3 linked regions of the Mus musculus genome follow. The protein of the gene in region 1 purifies or fractionates together with the protein of each later gene. This does not show direct contact. Links are inferred from orthologs where the notes say so. Each region holds a gene or a part of one and is shown on either strand. Other genes may lie near its edges.

What was found.
Region 2: the proteins of Wdr48 (region 1) and Ppp1r9b purify together in Homo sapiens (affinity purification with mass spectrometry; 3 studies listed by BioGRID and IntAct, with this or other methods). This does not show direct contact. The link is inferred for Mus musculus from reciprocal best matches to the Homo sapiens genes WDR48 and PPP1R9B.
Region 3: the proteins of Wdr48 (region 1) and Phlpp1 purify together in Homo sapiens (affinity purification with mass spectrometry; 5 studies listed by BioGRID and IntAct, with this or other methods). This does not show direct contact. The link is inferred for Mus musculus from reciprocal best matches to the Homo sapiens genes WDR48 and PHLPP1.

What each region holds. Positions count from the first base shown.
Region 1 is NC_000075.6:119,918,797-119,926,297, reverse strand, and holds part of Wdr48 (WD repeat-containing protein 48), read right to left. Parts: intron 6,650-7,501; coding exon 6,544-6,649; intron 5,742-6,543; coding exon 5,654-5,741; intron 3,681-5,653; coding exon 3,604-3,680; intron 2,221-3,603; coding exon 2,031-2,220; intron 1,590-2,030; coding exon 1,494-1,589; 3' UTR 1-1,493. UniProt on the Homo sapiens protein: Regulator of deubiquitinating complexes, which acts as a strong activator of USP1, USP12 and USP46. Enhances the USP1-mediated deubiquitination of FANCD2; USP1 being almost inactive by itself.
Region 2 is NC_000077.6:94,998,539-95,005,632, reverse strand, and holds part of Ppp1r9b (neurabin-2), read right to left. Parts: intron 5,427-7,094; coding exon 5,322-5,426; intron 4,415-5,321; coding exon 4,279-4,414; intron 3,792-4,278; coding exon 3,639-3,791; intron 3,555-3,638; coding exon 3,501-3,554; intron 1,073-3,500; coding exon 843-1,072; intron 613-842; coding exon 516-612; intron 329-515; coding exon 275-328; 3' UTR 1-274. UniProt on the Homo sapiens protein: Seems to act as a scaffold protein in multiple signaling pathways. Modulates excitatory synaptic transmission and dendritic spine morphology. Binds to actin filaments (F-actin) and shows cross-linking activity. Binds along the sides of the F-actin.
Region 3 is NC_000067.6:106,387,001-106,394,501, reverse strand, and holds the end of Phlpp1 (PH domain leucine-rich repeat-containing protein phosphatase 1), read right to left. Parts: intron 4,829-7,501; coding exon 4,600-4,828; intron 2,374-4,599; coding exon 1,162-2,373; 3' UTR 257-1,161; downstream 1-256. UniProt on the Homo sapiens protein: Protein phosphatase involved in regulation of Akt and PKC signaling.

The sequences.
Region 1 (7,501 bases):
CAAAAGTGCACCGATGTGTCCAGCATAGAAAGGACTTCTGTAGAAAAGCTGGCTACTCTAGGGCGGAGAATGGTTTAACACTGGCAAGTGTTCTTGCTCACTTGAGGGTATGGAAGCCATGGCCTGTCTGTGTTCCAGAGTTAAGTGAGGGGACCCTGTTCTGCAGTCAATTTGTAAGGGACAGATCTGGGCCCCTCAGCTGTTCCCTGCAGGACCTGTGAGATAGAGAGAAAACATCTTTCTTCCCCAAGCCCCCCTCCCCTGTGCTCCTGTGGGCAGGGACCACACACACAAGGCAGGAGCAGACGGACGGATGGGGAAAGCTGCACCCCCCACCCCCAAGGCACGTGTGCTTCCGCTGTGCTCAAAGGTTCATCTCCTGCAGCTTCACGGGCTGGACCATTTGTCTGAATGTAAATGACCTTGGGAAGAATCCAAAGTAGTTTTTGCCAAAAGTTGAAGTGTTTATCCCCAATAAGTTAATATTCTGTACAAGATCCAAGTGAGTCTATGAAAGCTTTTGACTGTTAGAAAGACGGCAGAAAGACCTGGACGAAGGCGTAACAAAAGCCCGTGTATAAAACTGGAAAAACAAACATGAACCACAATATAAATATCAAACCAACTCACTGTGAGATCTTTTTACTCTAGTAACATAAACTTTAGGTAGCATCTGAATGAAACTGCAACTTCAGCATGGCCGTAAGTTCTGACAGTTGTCGTGCTGCTCACGCGGAGCAGGAAGCTGTGGCTTCGCTGGCTTTGCCCGCGAGGAAGACTGGCGGAAGGAGTGGCCACAGCAGCTTGGGCTATCGGACAGCCAGGGCGCCATGGGCAGCACTGCGCAGCACAGGCTGTGGGTGGCAGCCTGCAGGTCCACGTGCTGCGCAGGCTCCAGCCCTGGAGTTGCAGGTCTTCCTACAAGAGCACAGCTGAGACGTGGCATTTCAAAAGTAGCCCAACATGGTCATTTCTCAGGAAATGGGCTGGCTCTTGAATTGTGCAACAGTGATTTCCATTAAAAATAACTCTTACATAGTGAAAACAACTTGTTTTTTTTTATATAATGACAAATTTGGAAAAAGCCTTCATAGGTACTGCATGAGTGGAATGTACTTGGAAAAGCTGCAGAGCCTGTGGGTTTGAAACTGAAACATGGCGACTGATGTGGCCCCGCTGATGTTCTCTAACAAGTGCTAAGAGACAAAGGGGGGTCCTTCAAAAGGAGTCAGCGAAGTCTGCACTGGCCTGTTGTAGATTCTCTGTACATCTCCCCGGACAGTGCCAGGGGCTTGTCCTTGCACTCTTGAGTCCCTGGGGACACCTTAATCTATGCATGGAGCCTGGTTTCTATATTACATCTCCATTAGTCACGTCACCAAATAGGCCGGTTGGAGGTCTTGCTCCCGTAGGACGTGGTGGGCTTCCTAGGACTACTCTTGGGGCCACAGAGAAAGGTGGTTGGTGAAGAACCCAGGAGCATGGGCCCACCCTCACGTGGACTTCTGACGGTAATGGAGGGTGAGGTCCCCACCACTCTTCCATATGAAGTGCTTTACTGTCCGAAGGTCCATATTTGGGTCCAAAACCTGAATAGCCAAAGTGCATTGAGAATGTCAACATCACTAACAGCTAAAGTTAACCAGGGACTCTGCCAGGTGGTCCAGCTTGCTCCCCACTGTGTCTAGGAGCCTGGTTTTTGCTTCCATACATGGAATCTGAAATGTGTACCTCTGCGGCTCACCAGCTCAACCCTGCCTGATGACAGAGTGCTTGTCTTGGTTGTAATTCATCGCTTCTCCACCCACCTCTACTCCAAGTTCTTTACTGTGACAGATAGCACCAGTTTACCCAGCACAGCCCTACTATGAGCATCTGGAAATCTGTCCTTTCCCAAGTACCTCCCTCAGGAGAGGGAGCTTCAGGTGTGCTGAAGAAAGTTTCCAAGAGACACAGCTCTCCAGACACCTGAGAGGCCACAAAGCACGTGGTCTGTGACTTTATGGGCCCCTCTGCATGGGTCCACTTACCTGGTCCTGGCACAGAAGTTCAATTTTCTCCTCTGCCAATACCGCGATGTCCTCCTCCTTCTCCTGCTCTGGCTTTTCATTATTAGAAGAGCTGGTGGTTTGGGACTCATTGTCCAGGTTGATAATCTTCTCGTAGACGTGCTCCATCACCTTCCGGACCTGCAGCATGTCACTGGCAGACAGCCTGTCTCTAGAAAAGATGGGTTTTCATATCAAAAATCTCTTATTATTTTTCATTTGTGTCAATATCTCAAGATAAATATAAACAGACATCTGAAATCAATACATGTTTTCAGTCATTGCTCCGAATCACTTGAAATCTGTCAGGAGAGATCCTGTGGTGCCTTCGAGGGCTCATGCACACACAACAGCCACTTGTACTATATGCCTCCAAGCCCTCGGCTAAAGCCTGGGTAGACCCACCAGTTAAGGACCAAGGGCTCAGTGTTATCTCCTACTGCTGTGCCTTCAACTAGGAGACAATGAATACCCCAGGCTAGACATTAAGCCACAGCTTGCTCAGACCACAAACCCAGCATTACACAACTGAAGTCCCTCACTTTTAAGCCCTTATCTCTGATATCAGTAAACTACTATCCTATCTCACAGCTACAGGTCAAACTGTTCAAGGATCTTCAAGTGGAGTCATTAAATCCACTTGAAGTGGCGTCTACGGCTTGCTGAAGTGATCCAATGCGTGCATGTGGAGGAGGTGGAGGGGCAGGCGGAAGTGTGGGTTGGACACTATGTTTCAGTATTACAGAGGTTTGTCCTCATTTGCTGGGTCACCAGGAACTTGTCCTCTGTGTGAGCTTGGGAATCCCTCTGACAGTTTTAACAGCCTCGTTGATTTCACTCGCTAGCCATACACACCGATTATGGTTCAGACTCCAAGTCCTCTGCTGTAAGCTTGTCTTTGAGCCATATCTACCTAGCAGGAATTAGTGGAACTGCACTCTGTGACCTGGCATTGAAATTCCGAGTCAGGAAGCCTCTGACTCAGCTGTATCGTTTCACGCCATCCTATGTATGGGAGCACACATCTCTATACCATTTCTGGTACCCGAGCAAGGTCCTGTTTGGGAAGTCTGTCTTTGGGTACTCCACCCATCCATGTGTGTTCAGGTGAGATTTCTTGTCCTCCTAGAAGGCTCTGTTCAGAGCTGGTTTGCTCCCACTTTCATCCTTTCCTAAGGTCTGTGAAAGCAGCCACTACACACAGGTTTTTATCCTCAAAGGAACTGTTTGGTTTGGAGACTGTGGATCCCCTCTGTTTACCTCCTAAGAACTGGGATTATAGGTGTGTGCCATCACACATGGCTACATGGTCTTGCTATGTAGTCTTGGCTGGCCTGGAACTCACCATTCTACTGCCCAGGCTGGCCCCTGCCTCTGCCTCCAAGTGCTAAGATTTAAAAGGCAGTGTCAGCAACTATGGGTTAAACTTAATTTTGAGAGGAGACAAAACCCAAAGCAATGGCCTTCAACCTAGCACCTGCCTCCATCTGATAAAGGGAGCTAAAGGACAGAGGCACCGCAGTGACCAGCGCACGGAAGCACAGCAGTTACTTACTTTTTTAAAGTTTTTGCTCCTGAAGATGCATGAGGTTGGAGGTAGAAAGGAATTTTGTTGAATTTGGGCATATTTTTCTGAAATATTAAAAGTTTAAGAGGTATAATAGTTTCTGTTAGCTGATAAAACTAAAATGTTATCAAAAGGAAAACAATTTACAAATAACCATTTTTACAATAAAAGTGACTTTTAGTGAAATTTATAGTAAGTTATCAATAGAAGTATGCCTTAAGAGAAAATTTCTCAGCAAGTATGCTTAGTTTACAATAAAAATAGATGAAGACAAATTATATATAGTAGTCAACAACAGTGGCACAGCTCTTCTTAAGTTATCATTTAAGGCAGCACAGGAAAACAAACCTACATTTTTAAAGTTCCATAAATCAAAATATCTGATGATTGCAGTGTTTTGAGAACACCCCAGAACGTTCACCTTTGAGCAGACACTTGGGCACTGATGGCCCATCGTCCACTGGAGAGGCTATCAGGCCCTCCTACCATCTACCTCTTCCTCAGACAGAGGGAGGGCTACCGTGACAGCTGAAATGATCCAGCCAGTTTTGGAACACAGCTCATGTCATAGGGTCACTACTGCACCCAAGTGAGTTCTATACTCAAAAGAAACAGTGGTTTATGGGAGCCTGGACAGGGATGGCCACGGACACCCAACAGGTGTCACTCTAGTTCTAAGTTCTTGAGGTGTATTTGGGATAGAAAAGAATTTTTTTTTAAGTTTCAAGAGATTAAATCCCTTTTCATATGGCTTTAGGGATATACAAGTAGTCAAGAGGACACAGAAAGTCTAGAAACAAACTGAGTCTGCAGGAATTTAGTACACTATACAGACAGCATAGCATTTCAAATTAGTAGACCGGACAGATTCCTATAAACTGCATTGGCATATGGCTTAGTTCACTGGAAAAAGAATGTCGCCTTACAGCAAACAGAGAGGCAAGTAAGAAAACAGTCAAGTCAGAGTTGATATAAAGGATATTCTAAACCGGGTGATCTCTAACAAAACATGGACCTCAGCGCCATAAAACCCACTTTGACTATATAACAAGTTCCCACCTGGGAAAGGACCTTGAACAAAGTAAAAGTTTAATGAAGGCGCAGAGGAGTCAGGTTAATTGGCACTGGAAGATCACCTGCGAGGCAGTAAGATGACGACCCAGTTAGAGAAGCGGTAAAGGACCAACAGGCAGGTCACAGCAGAGACTCACGGTCAGTATGAAAAGACTCCTAACCTCACCATGAGTAACCAAACATCCACACTGAAATCATCAGACGGTGTTTGCCGACAGAGCAGTGTTGCTGTGGCTGTGGCAATGGGGTACCACATACGGTTGGTTCAGGGTAAGCTGCCTCTGTGAAAAGGCGATTCGGCAAGATCTATCCACATTAAAACATGCATACCCTTTGATCCAGCAATTCCACTTGTAGGAATTTATTCTAAAAAGCTCATAAAGATACACGTACAAGGATGTTCACTGCAGCACTGCTTGCAATACAAAACCCTGGAAACAACGTGAGCCCATTAATAAGGGGACAATCAAATACAGAATGATACTCTTACACACACAAAATAGGGAACAGTCCATAAACACAGGCATCGAGAGATGTCCAAGACTATTTTTAAGGAAAAAAAAGTTGCAGAACACTGTAAGAGATTTTGTGCAAAAGTAAATGAACTACACACTTATGTATGCACACAAATAGCATGTATTTATGTAGGTGAGGAACGTAGCAGAGGCTGCACCAACCTCCTATTAGGTGCTCCCTCCGGGAGGAGGGCTGGGAGGATGGCTGGGAAGAGGTGGGCACTTTAAACACTGATTTCCTTTTTAGAATAAGCCTATATTATTGTTCTGACTGAAACCAGACAAAAGTAAAAGTTGGTCTGAAATAACTATCAGATGCGTTTGCACCTTTAGAACTTCAGGAACGAACGCACGCAGAGGGGATTCCGCCGGGCAGGTGACTTTTGTTACAGTGTAAGACTTAATGTCTGGGAAAAGCAAAGGACAAAATGGGAGTGAAGGACACTTACATCCACAGTGATGTCAATCACCCATTGTGGCACCGTCTCATTGAGAAGCATCGCCTCAGTCTCACCCCCGGAGTCCCGGCAGAGCAGCCTAGACACAACCCATCAGGTAGTCAGTGTTAAGACGAGCAGGAGACATCAGAGGAGAAACCCTCACAGTGCTCACTGCGGACAGCAGAGGTGACGGGAGAGCTGCTTCTGAGTCCTGGGTCACCACAAGGAGCACTCAGCCCAGGGCCTAGCCAGTGCCATGCACAGCCCAGACCTCGGCTGTGGTGAGGGCTGTAGTTTGGTTACCACGCTCAGGAACTATCACAAAGAACAAAGTCTATATTCAAGGGAAAGGCAAGCACCATCCCCACTTCTGACAACCCTGTGATACTGTAACACTTTGTCTGCTCCACCCTGGGCTTGCTGGAAGCCTTCCCTTCCCTGGAGGACCCAGAGAGTATTTTCCTGCACCCCAGGTTGAACCAGTATAGATCATAGCAGTTTGAAGGATCAGCCTCGCCCTCTTGCCTGGCCCAGTCTCCCATGGGCAGGGACTGCTATGATGATGATATTTGATTCCTGCCTCTGGCAGTCAGATTAACCACACTGGCAAAGAGAGAGAAAGTGCCACCAGAGACAGGGCCTGGAGGCAGGCATCTGGAACAGGGCAGGGTGTGTGTGTGTGTGTGTGTGTGTGTGTGTGTGTGTGTGTGTGTGTGTGTGTGTGTGTGTGTGTGTGTGTGTGTGAATCTCACCTTGGCCCTTCATTATTAACATTTACTGCAGCAGGCATCAAGTATCTCAGGGAACTGATACTCTTAATGACAACTGCTCATGTTTGTTTGGGCAGCATTTCCTAGCAAGGGGGTTGGTTTATTAAGCAATGTCTTTCTCATCCATACCTGAATAGTGTGCGACCTCCAGCTTCTCCAAAGATCACCGGGGTGTGTGGGGGCACTTGGAAATAACCATTTCCCTTCTGGACTCTGCTCTCCTGTCCCCCACTCACTAAGAAAGATAGGCAGGCTGTTAGTGCTGAGACCACAGCTTCTGAACACTGATCACACAGGCTGGGAACACTCTAACATCTTAAAAACAAAAACTCCTGGGGCTGGAGTGGTTGTTCAGTGGTTAGGGCACTGGCTGCTCTTCTAGAGGACCTGGGTTTGGTTCCCAATACCACACAGTGGCTTACAGCCATCTGTAACCCTACTAGTTCCCAGGGATCCAACACACTTCCTGGCCTCCTTGGGCACTGGGCACGTAAGTGTTGCCCCATATATACAGGCAGGAAAACTGATATCCATTTAAATCAAACCCTGTTCCTCAGTCAGTGTTAGAAAGTTAGGTGGAGGAAGCTGGAGTGAAGGCTCTCCAGATGAAGAGGGCCAAGGGCCCTCAGAGGACCTGAGTTCAGTTCCTAGCTTTCTAGGTCCAGGAGATCTGACACCCTTGTGTGGCCTTCACTTGTATCCCCACGTAATTGGCATATACATAATTTTTTTTTAATATTAAAAAAAGTAATAAAGGTGTAAAACAAGTAAGAACTAAATTCTCGAAAAAAGAATGTGGTGTTTTTTTATATATAAGGGCAGAGAATCTAATCAGAGGTTCAGTAGACTGCCCACTGTGAAACATAGCCCCCTTTGGAGGGCTTCACTAAGAGTAAATGTAGCTGACCCGGTGCCTGAGTCACGCGCACAGCCAGGCCCCAGCTCCCTGAACCTGAGCACAATGGCACCAGCTAGCATGTGGGTGTGTTTACATCAACCGGGACAGAGCCTGGACTATAAGAGACTTTTCTCAAAAGGAGGAGAAAAGGAAGGGAAACTGCTCGTATAACCATGTGTCTTAAATGTC
Region 2 (7,094 bases), on another chromosome or scaffold:
CCACCCAGGCCAGCTCTTAGCTTCTCTCGGCCTCTGCGCCTCAGCCCCACAGGGCAAGGAGACCACTCTTCCAGCCAGCATTGTCTGCCCTGGCCACCCTAAAGGGGCCTGTAATATGGGCCCTCTGGTCCCTGAAGCTGGGGGAGGTGGGGTGGAGGAGTAGGGGAAGTCGGGGCACCTGTCCCCAGGCTGGTAGGGGTGGGGTGGGGATTGAGGACAGGGGGTGAGGATAATGGGAGGGGATTATTATTGTCCGGCCAAGGAGTTATTCCTGTTAAGTAGAATTGGAGTTCCTCAGTGTCTGCAGGTTTCCTTCCAGTTCTGAGATCTAGAGAACAAAGAGAGGAGGCATCAGGCCTGGCCACTCAGCACGGGCCCTGTAACTTTACCCCCACCCTAAGCTACGACCCTGAGCTCCCAGCCAGCACCACAATCCTTCCCAAACACCATGGATTAAGTGAGTACTGGATTCCAGCTTCCATGCTGCTCACTCTGTAGGCTGCCCAGGGCGCTACCTTGTCCAGAAGTTTGTCCATTTCCTCCTTCCTGGCTAGCTCCGACTCTTCCAGTACCCGACGCTGGGCTGTCTCTTTTTTCAGGAACTCGATCTCCCTGGAGACAGGCAAGGAACAGATGGTGGGTTCGGGTGAATGGTGTGGCTTTGGTCCAGAGAGAAGCAGGCTTTCCCAAGGCCCATAGGGCTGAGTCTGGTACCCCATCGTGGTGCCCTCTAACTCTGTGTCCACTGTCTCCCTCCTCAGCGGGAGGAAGGCTGGGGTGGGGACTACCACTAAAGGCCCCTCCACCTGCCTGGGCCTAGACCCAACGCTCTTGACACATACTTTTGCTGGTAGTCCTTGATGAGACGCTTGGCCTTGCTGTACTTGCGCTCCAGGGCCTGATACTGGGCCTGGGTCTCCCGCAGGTGCTCATCCACAGCCTGGCACAGGCTCTGGGCCTCACCCCAGTAGCCCTCTAGCTTCTCCATCCGCTCCTTATTCTCCTCCACGCTCTGCTCCAGCTGGGCCTTCTCTACCCGCCAGCGCCCTTTCTCCTGCTCCAGACTCTGCAACTGTGAGAAAAGAGCAGCCCTGGGTTGGAGGAGACCAGAGTGAGCCCTGGGGGGAGCCAACAGCTTCTAAGGATTCCTGCACTCTTGGAGCCAACTGGCCCCCAGCTACTAATTCTCTGAGGCTGACCTTAGAGTTCTGCTAGGGGCGGTAGCAGGCACCCATGAGTCACCACCAATTAGCAACTTCTGCCTTATCCTAAAGATGGGAGTGACATGCCTCAGGGCTAGGGAGATGGTAGCTACGAAAGACAGTCACCACCAGACCAGCTCTGAGCCAGCCCTCTGTAGCCCTGGTTTGTTGACCAGTCCCTATCTTTGGAGATTCCTGAATAATCCAGCCCCTTTCCAGCTCCCAGGGGACTGGATTCCTGACAGCTCAGTCTGCATTCTGCTCTCTGTAGCTTCAAACAGCAGCACCTCACACAGCAGTTCTATGCACAGAGCCCCAAGTCCTGAGCTCCCGCAGGATCCTGTACCTAATCTAGACCCACCTCGAAGTCTGAGGTACCATGCCCCAAACGGCACTGTTCCCTGGACCCCCCCCCCCCCCAGCCTGAGCCTGCTCTTATCACTTCCCTGCCTGGTGGAAGATGCTGCTGTCCCACAGCAGTCCAAACGGGTCCTGGTTGTACTTCTGTCTTGCTTGCTGCAAACACCTCGTGCTTTCTAAGCCTAGATGCCTCAGGCCTTCCTGCAGACCCTCACACTTGCCACAAGGCCTTTTCAGGTAGTTCCTTCTGCTAGGAATGCCCCATCTACCCTTCCTTGTAAGCCTGTTGTGTACCAATTTCCCAGAGAAGCCTGCTGGGACTTCAGTAGGGCAGCATTCCCTGCCCTGCAACGGGACAGGGTTCTTCCTGAGCTAGAGGCTGAGGTAGAAACATAACAGTATGCAGACTCATTAAGACACACGAGGACCAGGGTCAATTCTGCCTTTACTCCTAACTGTGCCTGAAGTGGCATTAGCTGTCTGGAAGTTACCTTAGATGTCTGTCAGTTGAATGCCTCTTTGCTTTCTGAGCCTGAAACCACCTGTGACTCCTGAAACCACCTGTGACCCACCGTCTGCTTCATGTCCTGAGAGCACCCACCCCCCCAAAAAAATGCAGCCTGGTCCTTCCTTCTCATCCCTGGCCTGTATCCTGACTCTCCCTGACAGCCTCCGACAAAGCCTCTAACCAGTTTGTCCATATTCAAGTCTTTCTTACCCCCAAGCCTCCTTCCCACACCCGCCCCCATTTCCTAGATGGTGAACTTCGAACACAATTCTAGGGTCCACAGCTCCGTGCCTGCAGAACCGAGGCTACAGTTCTTGAAGGGTGAGGTCTACACAGTGTCGATTTTTCTAGCTTTCCCACCATCTAGCTGCCTCTTCACCTCTCTCAGCAGGAACAGCTACCATACCCTACCAGGCCTCCTTCCAAAGTCAGCCTGCAAGCTCCCAGAAACCCCTGCACTGCCCTGGATGCCCGTCCCCTGCCCTCCTCCATCTATGTGGGAGAGGACACACATATTCCTATTGTGCTGCATCTCCATGGCCCCTGGAGATTGGTTTATCCTACTATCCCGGAAACCCCGTGGGAGTTGGGACTCCTTCAATATATAGAAATCTGTGTGTCTCCAATGCCTGGGAGCGTGTGGGTACCCAATGTGCTTGTAAGCATCTGGTAGGCATGTACAGTAGCCATGTGTGGTTACCAGCTGGTGCTGTTAGTACGAGCATGTGTGCTGCTGGCCCAGGTAAAACTGTGCACGTCCTCTGACACTCTTCCTAGGCCGGGTGGCCTGAATGGTGGTTGTGTCTGTGCGCTTCTGGAACCTCAAGGACAGAATGGGTCTACCTACTCAGGCCACAATGCCCCTGACAGAATCGATCACGGGTGTCTGGAAATCATTATCGGTGCAGACGGAGTGTGTAGGTGTCTAACTGAATGGGTCTGTGGATTCAGGCTGGCGTGTGTCACTATATGCACCACTGTGTCAAAAAGTCTCTATCTTATCTCAGGGCCCGTGCAGAGTGGATGGCTGCTGAGCAGGACACACATACACAAGGAGTAAGACTTGGTTCATCACCGTGGACTTGCTGATACTGACTCTCGACTGAGCACTGACCCTAAAGCAGGCTGCAGCCTTCCTGGCTCTGCTGCAGGATTTCCATATATCGTCCCAGTGGCTTCTCATCTACCCAGCTCTATGCTCTTATACCACACCTTACATATGAGGGGGAAGACACCCAAGTGAATGAATAGGGGAACAGATGGGCCAGAGCTCTTGGGCCCTTAATCCTGATATCCCTGGTCTCACAGTAGCCCATGGTAAACCGTCGTATGTTAGGAGGCTGCCTGTGTGAAGGCAGAGCTCCCTCCTCCAGCGTTCAGCCGGGGTCTTCAGCAGGCACTCACGAGCACACAGGCACGCGCACCCTCACCTTCCGTTTCAGCTGCTGGATTTCCGCTTCAGTGACAGCATGCTTGATCTGGAGCTGCGGACAGAGGGTGGCACTCAGCTCCTAGGGCCAGCTACCCATCTGCCTTCCCCCACTGTCCCAGGGCCCCCCTTTTCCAACCTCCTTGAACTTGTGCACCAGCTTTTCGGGCTCCATCTCCACGGGGGACAGCGCATCCTCGTTCTCTGCTAGTTCAAACACCTCAATGGCCATTTCACCCCCTGGGAACGTTGGGCTCAGTTCTTCATCTTCGTCGGTGGCATACTCTCCTGTCTGTGGAGGGATGCAGGCAATGTGGGTCCATCTACTCCACTTCCCTCAGCAACCCTGCAGCCAGGCCGGACACCAGCAGCAGTATGCTCATGTTGGACTGGGGGGTCTCCACGGCTAGAATAGGGACACTGCAGGCCTGCAGAACCCCCTGTACTGTTTCCTCCATAACTCGGCTTCCTTGAGGACCCATCGCTCTCCTAATCAGGCTCCCTAGATTAGGGGCTCCCCCCAGAGAAAAGACTCAGAGAGGACTGTGTTTTCCTTCTAATTATAGGGAGGCAGAAGAGTGGGACTCTCCTGTTTGACCCGGAGTTCTCTGAGGGGAGGGTCTGCTTCTCTCTCAGACCATAAGTTCCCCTGGGACTTGGGGGTTTTTTGTTGTTATTGTTTTGTTTTTTGCTTTTTGTTTTACCAAGCCTGGAAAAAGTAGTTGAGGCAAATGAGTGCGCTGCTTCATCTAACCACCAGAGGGCAGTCACGGCCCTACCTCCTCATCATCCTCTCCATACTGGGCGTATCTCTGCTCCATCATCTCCCGCTGCCATCGCTCCTGCTCCAAGGTCTGCTGAATTAGCTGGGCCACTTCACTCTGTTCTCCAGGCCGCTCCCGGCCAATCATGAACCTGCAGGGGCACCAGAGTCATCTGTCATTCTGGCGTCACCCCAGCCTGGCTACAGCTGGGAATGCCACTGCCTTCCTTGTTGTGTGGGGCCCTCCCTCCAAACCTAGGCCCTCCCAGGGGAGGTGAACTGAGAGCCTGAGTCCAGAAGCTGTAGAATAAATAATGAATAGGGGAGCTGGGGCTCTCACATGGCTGCCTACCAGGAGAAGCAGGAAGACCTGCTCACCTTCCTGGCCAGCTGTGGGAAGGGGCTGTCAACCATGCTTCGGGGCTACAGGGGACATGGGCTCAGGGGCTCTCGGCATAGGAGCTGTTCCCACCAAAGAGGAAACAACAACCACAAAGCCAAGCCAAGCCAACAGCACAGGAGTGGGCAAAATGGCCCATCCTCGGGAATGGGGAATAGCCTGTAGAGGTGTGACTTGGGTGTGCTCCAAGCCCCGGGTCAGGAAGGGGCAGGATGATGGCAACTGCAGATTAGCACGGGGAGGAAACAGTGGGACTTCCAGGCATCAGCTCCTCCCCCCTCCCCTGGCCACCCACATCCTGTTTCTCTCTAACACCCTTTCCTGGGGGCAGTGCCCCTCTAGAAGTGGGGCAGGCAGCAGTTCCCAGGTGACCTGCCAGAGGAGCACACAGACTTAGTGGAGCCCAACAGGACCTGGGATGAAGCTCTAGGTGGGAGAAGCTAGTTTGGTTTTCCATAGGCGAGCCAGAGGCAGAAGAAGAGGAGAATAAACCGAGAGGAGAACATGGAGGAACAAGGAGAGTGGAAGCCTGAGTCTCAGTGGTGATCAGGGATCTCAGGATGGGAAGGCAGGCCTGGCAGGGGGCTGCAGGCACAATTCCCCGGGCAGGGACCTGGTGCGGAGAGGACCAGCTTTCTGACTGTTCCCTTGACTCTCACCGCACTCGGCCTTTGGTGTTCCTAAGTACAGAGGCTGCAAAGCTCTGGGTCACTCCCACCAGGCTCGTCCCATCCACCTCCACCAGCAGGTCGTTCACTTGGATCCTAGGGAAAGTGAGGTTGGTTAGGGGGTCATGAGAGGGACAGGAGCTGGGTTAAAGGTGGACTCTTCCCACTGGAAACTCAAGGCTCAGTCCCGACAAGGTTCCCAGAAAAGGTCCGAGAGAACCGAGAGAGAGCCAGGCAACACAGATGCAGTTATCCAGGACTACGAAAGGTGGCCAGCATACTTCCTGGAACAACCATACTCTTGTCTCCAGTCATACTCAATGGGGTGATGTGACCTGCTCAGAGCTCATTTTTACATGACATATGCCACTACCCCAATGCCCACCCAAATGCCTTGAACCCAAGCGTTCTCCTCTCCTGCTCACACACCAATCCACATCCACAAAGTTGCACACCCCGGCACAATCTAGCTGTGGGGGTGTCCTGCCCCCCACACACACACAAGAGCAGAAGATGGGGGAAGACTTGGATATCTTCTTCCACCTCCTGGGAGGTTTTGAGCCTCTTGGGGCTTCAGGTGGAAATAGAGAGAATGCCTGAGGCGAGCAGTTTTCCCCCTTATAGGCCACCTTCGCCCAGGATGCTGACATACCTGCTCTGCTAGCACACAGGTGGCAATGGCCAAGCTCTGGAAAGGGAGGGAAGTGCCCGAAGGACGCCATCCTTTCTGTCCCCGCTGCTTTCCTGCCACCTATGCTGCAGCAGGCAAAAGCCCTCTTACGTGGGCCCCCATGCCTCTAACATGACCCTACCTACAGTAACCCAGCCCTCACCACTCATGCCTGGCACGTGGAGGGGGTGTGGGTGTCAACCCTTCACAGCTTTCCTGAGGGAAAGCCTAGCCGTTCCCACTTCCTCCCCCTGCAACACACACAACCGAAAACCTGGCACAGAGGAGCCCGGGTGCCAGAGCTCTAATGCCCTTCGAGAACCTTCTGACTTACGGAACCCCAGGCCTCTGGCCACAGATATTTCACACAGGCACACACACCTATGCACACGCAATGAGCAGCCTTGGCTCCAGAACATGGCCACAACTAGCCCAATCCTATCCATCCCTGCATCCCTGGCTATCTACATTCCTGCCCCATTGGTTTCCACCTGGCTGGGGGCACATAGCTCAGCTGGCAGAGTCATGCTGCATGCATGATGCTCTGTGCTCACAGGGAACCTTTTATCTCTATTTATTTTCGTTTTGTTTTTCAAGACAGGATCTCACTATGTACTCCTGGCTATCTGGGAACTCATTATGTGTTGACCAGGCTGGCCTCAAAACACATAGATCCACCTGCTTCTGCCTCCCAAATGCTGGGATTAAAGGCTTAAGCCACTCCACCTGACTACAAGGAACCTTTTATATATCCTCACTTGGCCTTGCTAGCTCCTGCTTGGCCTGCAGCTCTTTCAATATCACTTCTTCCAAGAAGCCCACCTGTCAGAGTGGTCAGGCCCTCATACTTTATTGTTTGTTTGTTTTGTGTTTTGAACAGGGTTTCTCTGTGTATAGCTATGGCTGTCCTGGAACTCTCTTTGTAGACCAGGCTGGCCTCGAACTCACAGAAATGCACCTGCCTCTGCCTCCCAAGTGTCAGTACTAAAGGCATGCGCCACCACTCCTGGCTAGGCTCTCCTACTTTGGGCTTTCATATATTCCTCTCCACTCTTCCAGTCTGTTTGTTCTGTCTGGTATCTGTCTACTTTACT
Region 3 (7,501 bases), on another chromosome or scaffold:
GTCCCCATCCAGTCCTCTCTTCCAGTGAGGACTACCTTGCATAATCATAAAAAGAAAAGGGTAACAACAGCTGTGTGTGCGGTTGACCAGAAGGTCGATTCTACTACCTCATTCACTGCAGCTGAACTTGACTATTAAGGAAACAAACCCCAAACCATAATGTTGGTTAATCTCACCCCCATCTATTCCTTCTAATCCTAAACTGGTTTGGCTGTGAGACACACCTGGATGCTGAGACAAAAGCAGATAGATTCAGTACTTGTAAATTTCATATTTATTATAACAAAAATTACGACATGTCCATTTGGGCATTCTGCTTCCATATAACTCTGGATGTGTAGATGGTATAAGGGACTCTATACAGTCATGCTGATTGTGGCAGCAGGAAGGAACACAATTAAAAAATGTCTGTAAAAGGTTCTGGGTTCCCGAGAACAGGGCCACATTATCTGCACAGAAACACGCTGCACATGGCCCACACTGAAGATGAGCTACGTAGGGGTGGGGCAGGGAGGCTCTTCAGAGCGAGTAAGGGGTCAGTTATTTAGGCTGTGTCCTTATGCAAGACTACAAACACTTTAAGCTTCACTATGTAACACTGAGATATTTACAATAGAAATTTCTCAATCAACTGTTCTCTCAGAGAAAATTAGTGACTCCCAGTGACTTAAGTCACCTGACAGAGTAAAGCAACTCCTAGGAGTTAGTCGCCATATTCTACAAATGTCTACCATTTTCAAGACAAAAAAAAGCTTTCCCCACAAAGAAATACACAATTACAATATTATTAAATCATTTAGCAATGGCAACTTGCCCTGCCTTCCAAACAAACAAAACAACAAAAGCCATTTTTAAAAATATTACATTATCATTAACTGTTTCTCTGTAATATATTAAACCTTTTGTTCTTTGTCTTTACACAGTTGATATGTTAGGGAAAGAAGTTAACAAATTTAAATCATATTGGTAAAGTATCACTAGAAGAAAAGTGGTTAATTGTTAAAAGTAACCAATACAAAGAGAACCTACAGATGAGCTGCAGAGACAGGTGGGGCAGTGTCTGGGAGAGGGCATGAAGTTAACACCCCTGGTTTAATGTGAGCCTGGGAGACTCTCAGTCTCTCTGGTTAGTTTATTGTTTAAAACAGTACTCAGGCTGGGTCATAGCGGTGTATCGTAACAGTCTGGCAGGTGATCCATTTGGAAGTGCCGCTGTGGCTGTGGCTGTGGCTGTGGCTGTGGCTGTGGCTGTGGCTGTGGCGGCTGGGGTGGTGGTGGCAGCTGCTGCTGCTGCTGCTGCTGCTGCTGCTCCTGGTGATGTTTCATGATTTCTTTGACTTCCTCTTCCAGCTCTGGGGGGATGATAAACTGATCATCTGGATCTGGCTGAGCAGGGGCTGCAAAATAGCCTCCTGGCTTCCGGAGAGGCGCATCTGCAGCAACCTCTATCACATTATGGCTCCTTTCCTGGGGAGCTACAGAGCCATTAGCCCTGCGTCGTCCAATGGTTCCCACAGCAGAAAAGTCTGCCTTCTTGGACAGACCTGACTCATCCTCATTGGCACTGATGACAATGCCCTCATCACTGGCCTCAGCTGGCACCTGAAGTAGGTGCTGCTGTCTCTCCTTTTCCTTGGCCCTGCTGCAGTGGATGTCTACTTCCACCTCAACCCGGCTGCCGTTGCTGAACACCCCCTCAATGGGTTCTTCATCGTCACTGTCAAGGCCGTTGTCAGAGAACGCGCTGGAGAAAGTAGCGCTGGACAGCTGACGTTGGAAGGAGTTAGACAGGCAGACAGGGTGGAGCATGCAGCGCTGCTCGTTGGGGTAGGCAGGGCTGCTCTCATTCAGGACTCCAGACGGGGGCTCATCAGAGGCTGTGGAGCCCACCTCACTACTCATCTCGGAGGTAGACAGTTCACTGCTGATCTCAGATGCCATGCCACTGCTGGAGGATGGCACACCCAGCCCATCTGAGGGTCGGTCCTTGATGACCATGTTGACGGATGGTGGGAAGATTCCGGGGCTGGGTGGTGGCATGCTCCCTCCAGCACTGAGCTCACAGCAGCAGAAGCTGTCTTCGGTGACACTTAGCTGTACCACCACAGCACTGATGCTGTCATGGCAGCCATAGCTCTGAGCCAGGGTGCAGAGCTTCTTAGCAGCAGCCAGAGCATCTGGCACATTGCGTACAGCTTCCACAGCCTCGTCAATGGATAGGCTGTCCCACAGCCCTTTGCTGCCCAGGATGAAAAACTCATCCTGTGGAGTCAGAAGCACCGACTGCACATGGGGGCGAGGCACCACACTGGGATGGAGGAAGGTGTAGCCCAGGATGCGCGTGGACTCTGTCACTCCATTGACCTTGCCATCCTAGAAGAAAAATTTCCAAAGAGACAGTGAGCACAGAGCACATGTGGTTACTGAGCAGCCTCCCTCTGGGCCACTGACTGGGTCACAGGACGGTGTTGGGCATCCCACGAAGGAGGCTCACACACCCTATATGGAAAGGCTGAAGTGTAGAGGAACAAAAAGAAGTATTTCAGCCATCCCTTTAACAGGGACTGCATTTATACTAAATGGTATGTCTCTTCATGACAAGCTGATGTACAGCCTCACATGGCATGCATGCTTATTAGATTCTAGAGAGGTAAGTCCCATAGAAACACCCAGGGTAGGTACAGTCCAACCTCATGACTGTCCAGCAGCACAATCAGCATGGAAAAGGGCTAGGGAGTCAGTCTGTTGTGACCCACGGATGTCTGTATCTGAGTCACAGTGCTCACATGTTTGGAGAGGCAATGCTAACAGAAGTACCCATCCTTAGGCCTTTCTTGAACCTGACTTACAAGGACAAATGTAGAAACCATGGTGCCCAGTCTTAGACAGTTGGTTCTATTTAGACCAGCAGCCAAATCCAGGCCATTTGCTGGGGGAAAAGATGAGTACTTTTAAATCTTAGCTACATGCAGCTGCTGTGTTCTCTACCTTCCAGGTGTGAGGATCTCTGCCTTACAGCCACATCCACCCCCACTCTCCTACTTCTAACACTTCCTGCCACACAAGGTTCTGCAATGGCGGATACAACTTTTGTGAGTCTCTGGACTCACAAACAGTGCTTCTTCAAGAGAATGCCCCGTGCTTCCGCTCAGTGCCTGCCTCCTCCTGTGCTTCCCGAGTTATCTGCTTGTTCCTGGGTGCCTTTCCAAAGAGACCTCAGCAGCCATGCTTAGACCAGGGGGCAGCCTAGGAACTAAGATGAGTAAAACAGCCTTTCAAGCAGTTTGAAACACCCTTGACTCTAGTAATGAAATCCGCCCTGCCTGGTGTGGGGGCTGGCTACTCTAGCCACCCTTCAGCCTTCTCCCCAGTTTGTGCTTTGAGGGCATCTTCAAGGAACGGAAGGGGTGGTGTGAGAACTAGTCACTGTTGAAGACTGAGCAGAGCAAGCAGAAGTCAGGAAGAGAAGCAGGGGAGGAAAGGGGATAACACAACTGACCTACGAACTCTGATGCATGTGGCAGACATCTTTTTCTCTACAGTGTTGCCGCTCAGCTCACTCTTCTGGACAGCAGTACAGTGCCCACTCTCCTAACCTGTGCTCAACATCCACTTTAACCTTCAGTGCTGGGACAGACAGGGAACTCAATTTATATGTGTGCTCACGTCCAAGGACTCACGGCACCTTGGTGTCTTTCTGGGATGCTCAACATAGCCTCTTTTTCTCTTCTGGACACTCCCCTTCCCTCTCACCTTCAGACAGTGCATTGTTCTGTGAGTTTTACTGCTAAGAGGAGGTTAGGTTCTTGTCAGCAGATGTGTATGGGTACTTCCAGGTAATGTTGAGTGACTGACATGCTGGTAAATTAGCAAATAAAGAACTGCAGAAGCTAGTTTTCAAGATTCATTGACAATGGATCATGCTCTACTGTTATTCTAGCTGGTTTTGTTTGTTTTTTGTTTTAAAACAGCAATTTTTTTTTTTATTTTTTTATTGCCATTTGGGACCAGGTAAATCTTTGTTGTGGGACTATGCCCACACTGTAACCTCTTTAGCCATAGATCTAGCTTCTCCTCTCTCTATGGCAATCATGCGCTGATTTTGATGATCAAATATATCTATAGGCCTTGTATTTTTGCCTCCTGTCCCTGAGAACAGTATTATTCAACTGGCAAAACAGAAAATAGTTATATAGTTATACAGACACCACAGTTATTGTGCCAGACTACCATTGTAAAGCAAGGCAGGTGTCTGATATCTACTTTATACATAGCTGAGATACAAAGCAGAAGTGTGATTCAGGAGTCCAGTTCTCAGCCACTTAGCCAGTAGCTCTGAGATCCACTGGGACAGTTCCCAGGAAGCATTCCCAACTCTATGCAACTGATGACTGCCTTATTATTCTATAATAATCCATAGAGATATTCCTCAGTAATCTAAAGACAGCACCAAGGAATTTACTTTGTAATACCATGGACTTGGAAAGCTACATCTGAACTAACATCAAGTTTCCTCTGAAGACAAGTGTTTCCCGAGGGGTCTCCACCAGGGGGTGCTGCTCGTGTTCTCCTGCTGTCTGAGGAAAACTGGCTCCTCACCTCAGTGATGATGGCTTTGTGCTGCTTAATCCTCTTCCGCTCTTCTTCACAGCTCATGATGTATGACCTGGACAGAGACAGTGGCTTCCCATTTCGACAGAGAACCGTTTGGCACTTGCCAACATTAGCAGAGGTCAGGGTAAAGGATCCTCCCAGGTCCACAGGGTCAGGCTTGATGTGGCAGAGGACAGCAGCACCACCAAGTTTCTGCCCAGCAGTTCCCAGTTTCCTGAACCCAAAGAGAAGGGTGAACACTCAAACACCTTACCACATTTTGTCCATTCAGAAGAAAGATGACACAGGGTACAGGGCCATAGATTAGACTTAGTCCTGTCCAGCAAAGCCACTCAGCTTCCAAGAAGAAAAAGGTCCCTGGAATCTGACACTACACACATTCACATAGAGAGGTATCTGCTCATATGTGGTAGGGAAGGATCACCTTTTGATTAAAAGCCGTTTTGCTGGTCCTGGCCTGTTGTGTCTAGCCTGCTGCCCTGCATCAGTTATACAGCCCAGCACTATATTCCAAACCATCAAGAAAGGGCTGCTTCTTTTCCCACTCACTTTTCCAAATCCTCTATTCCCACAAAAATCTGAATAGGTACAAACACAGTATCTATGCATGAACTGCACACTTATCCTAACCACCATTCTATCTGTCTGTCTGTCTGTCTGTCTGTCTGTCTGTCTGTCTGTCTATCTATCTATCTATCTATCTATCTATCTATCTATCTATCTATCTATCTATCTATCTATCTATCTATCTATCAGAAGTATCTATCTATCTATCTATCTATCTATCTATCTATCTATCTATCTATCTATCTATCTATTAGAAGTCTTTATTCCAGACTGGTGGGACTACAAAGTCTTTATTCCAGACTGGTGGGACTACACTCAGTGTAGCACTGAGAATTTAGAAAAAGTCTTTTATTTATTTATTTTCATTTTCTCCTCGTTTACTGAAAATAGATTCTTTTCTCCTGTACTATATCCCGATTACAGTTTCTCCTCCCTCTACTTCTCCCAGTTCTTCTCTCCTTCCCTTCCCATTTATATCCACTCTCATTCTGTTTCTCATTAGAAAAGAACAGGCTTCTAAGAGATAACAACAAAACTCAACAAATAAAAGTATGATAAGCTAGAATCACCATTCTTCTAGAGGATGTTCACTGCCATTCTTGTCCATGCAGCCAAGACTTTCTTTTTTTAAAAGATAGATTTATTTATTTATTTATTTGTCTGTCTATCTATCTATCTATCTATCTATCTATCTATCTATCTATCTATCTATCTATCTATTTAATATGAGTACACTGTAGCTGTCTTCAGACACACCAGAAGAGTTCATCGGATCCCATTACAGATGGTTGTGAGCCACCATGTGGTTGCTGGGAATTGAACTCAGGTCCTCTTGAAGAGGAGTATAGACCGCTGAGCCATCTCTCCAGCTCCAGCCGAGACTCTCTTGATCAGCACTATTTGTTCTATGACAGCTATAGGACACCATTCTGGCATCAAACACCAAGTGTTTTTGCCTTATCCTCCGCTGTCAATTAACCTGTGTACTTATTGAATATTTGGAGCCCCTATAAATACTGACCATCATAAAGAGCAAAGAACTCTCATCACATGTCCAACCAATGGTCATTCCTCCAAACTTCCCATAATGACAGTCATAAAAAAACAGAAACAAAAAGGAAAAACTGCCTCTCTTGCCTAATGAGGGCAGGAAAGACTCTGAAGCATTGTCAGAATATAAGTTAGACAACTGGGGACAGAAGCGACGGAAACCAGGGACACCTAGCCACACACCCTTGAGAGCTAGGCACAATGAATAGGCAGTTACTCTAAGGACTGAAGTGCTGCCTGGTCTTATAACCTGTTAACTAACAGACAAAAGTCACAAAGACGACACTGCAGGTCGGCCTGTCATAGGATTCCACGACCATATCTGACTGGTGCATGCTTCTAAGGCAGCATGACTTTCAAATGCACAACGACTGGTGAGAAATTTGTAGGCTAGAGGCCTATGTGGATGGTGTGTGTGTGTGTGTGTGTGTGTGTACACATATACATGGTATGTGTATATGTGTGCATCTTTGTCTGTGTGTATCATATTTCCTGACTTCAGGGACAAGGAGGTGGCTGAAAGCAGCCAAGTTACTATGTCTGGTGGCCAGAGCATCCATGGGGTCTCAGGATTCTGCCTGTACTGGGCCTGGGGGGTACTTTGCTTCACCTCTATGCAGTTTGGTTTCACAAACAAGATATGAAGAGCAGCAATGCATATCTCATTGGGGGAACATCAGGACATATAAGGTAGTTAGAACAATGACTATTTGCTAGTCAACTGCTGTCTGCACCCACTAGGAACTTGGCAGATAAGGGGAGCATTGGAAGCAAGAGCCAGAAACCTGCCTGCCTTGGCTGTGCGTGAGGCAGACATAACTGTGGAGGCTGCTCAGGGCAGCATTCCACAGCAGGTAGATACTGTCTATTTTGGTACCCAGCCATCATCTCTGTCAGGTTACCCGTGGGGAGAGGAAGTAAAGGAGAGAGCTCATCAATGCTGCCATAACCGTCAAAGGACTAGGATATTCATCACCATCGATCTTATAAGAGCAGGGTCTGCTCTTCAGTAGGCAATTCCTTTACAATCCATAAAGCCCACAAGGTGACAAAAGAATGAAAATTTTTGACTGAAGGAACCCTCGTAGCACATGACCCTGAGAGCTCAAGTGGCATGGGCTAGTTCTTGCAGTGACCTGAAGCTCTGGTGCAGGCACAGTAAGAGGGAGGTAGCAGCCCAGAAGTTAGCAATACTTACATCAATACTGAATAAGGGAAAGAGGGTAGCATACAACAATGGTTTAAAACAAGTCTAAAATCTGACCCATTC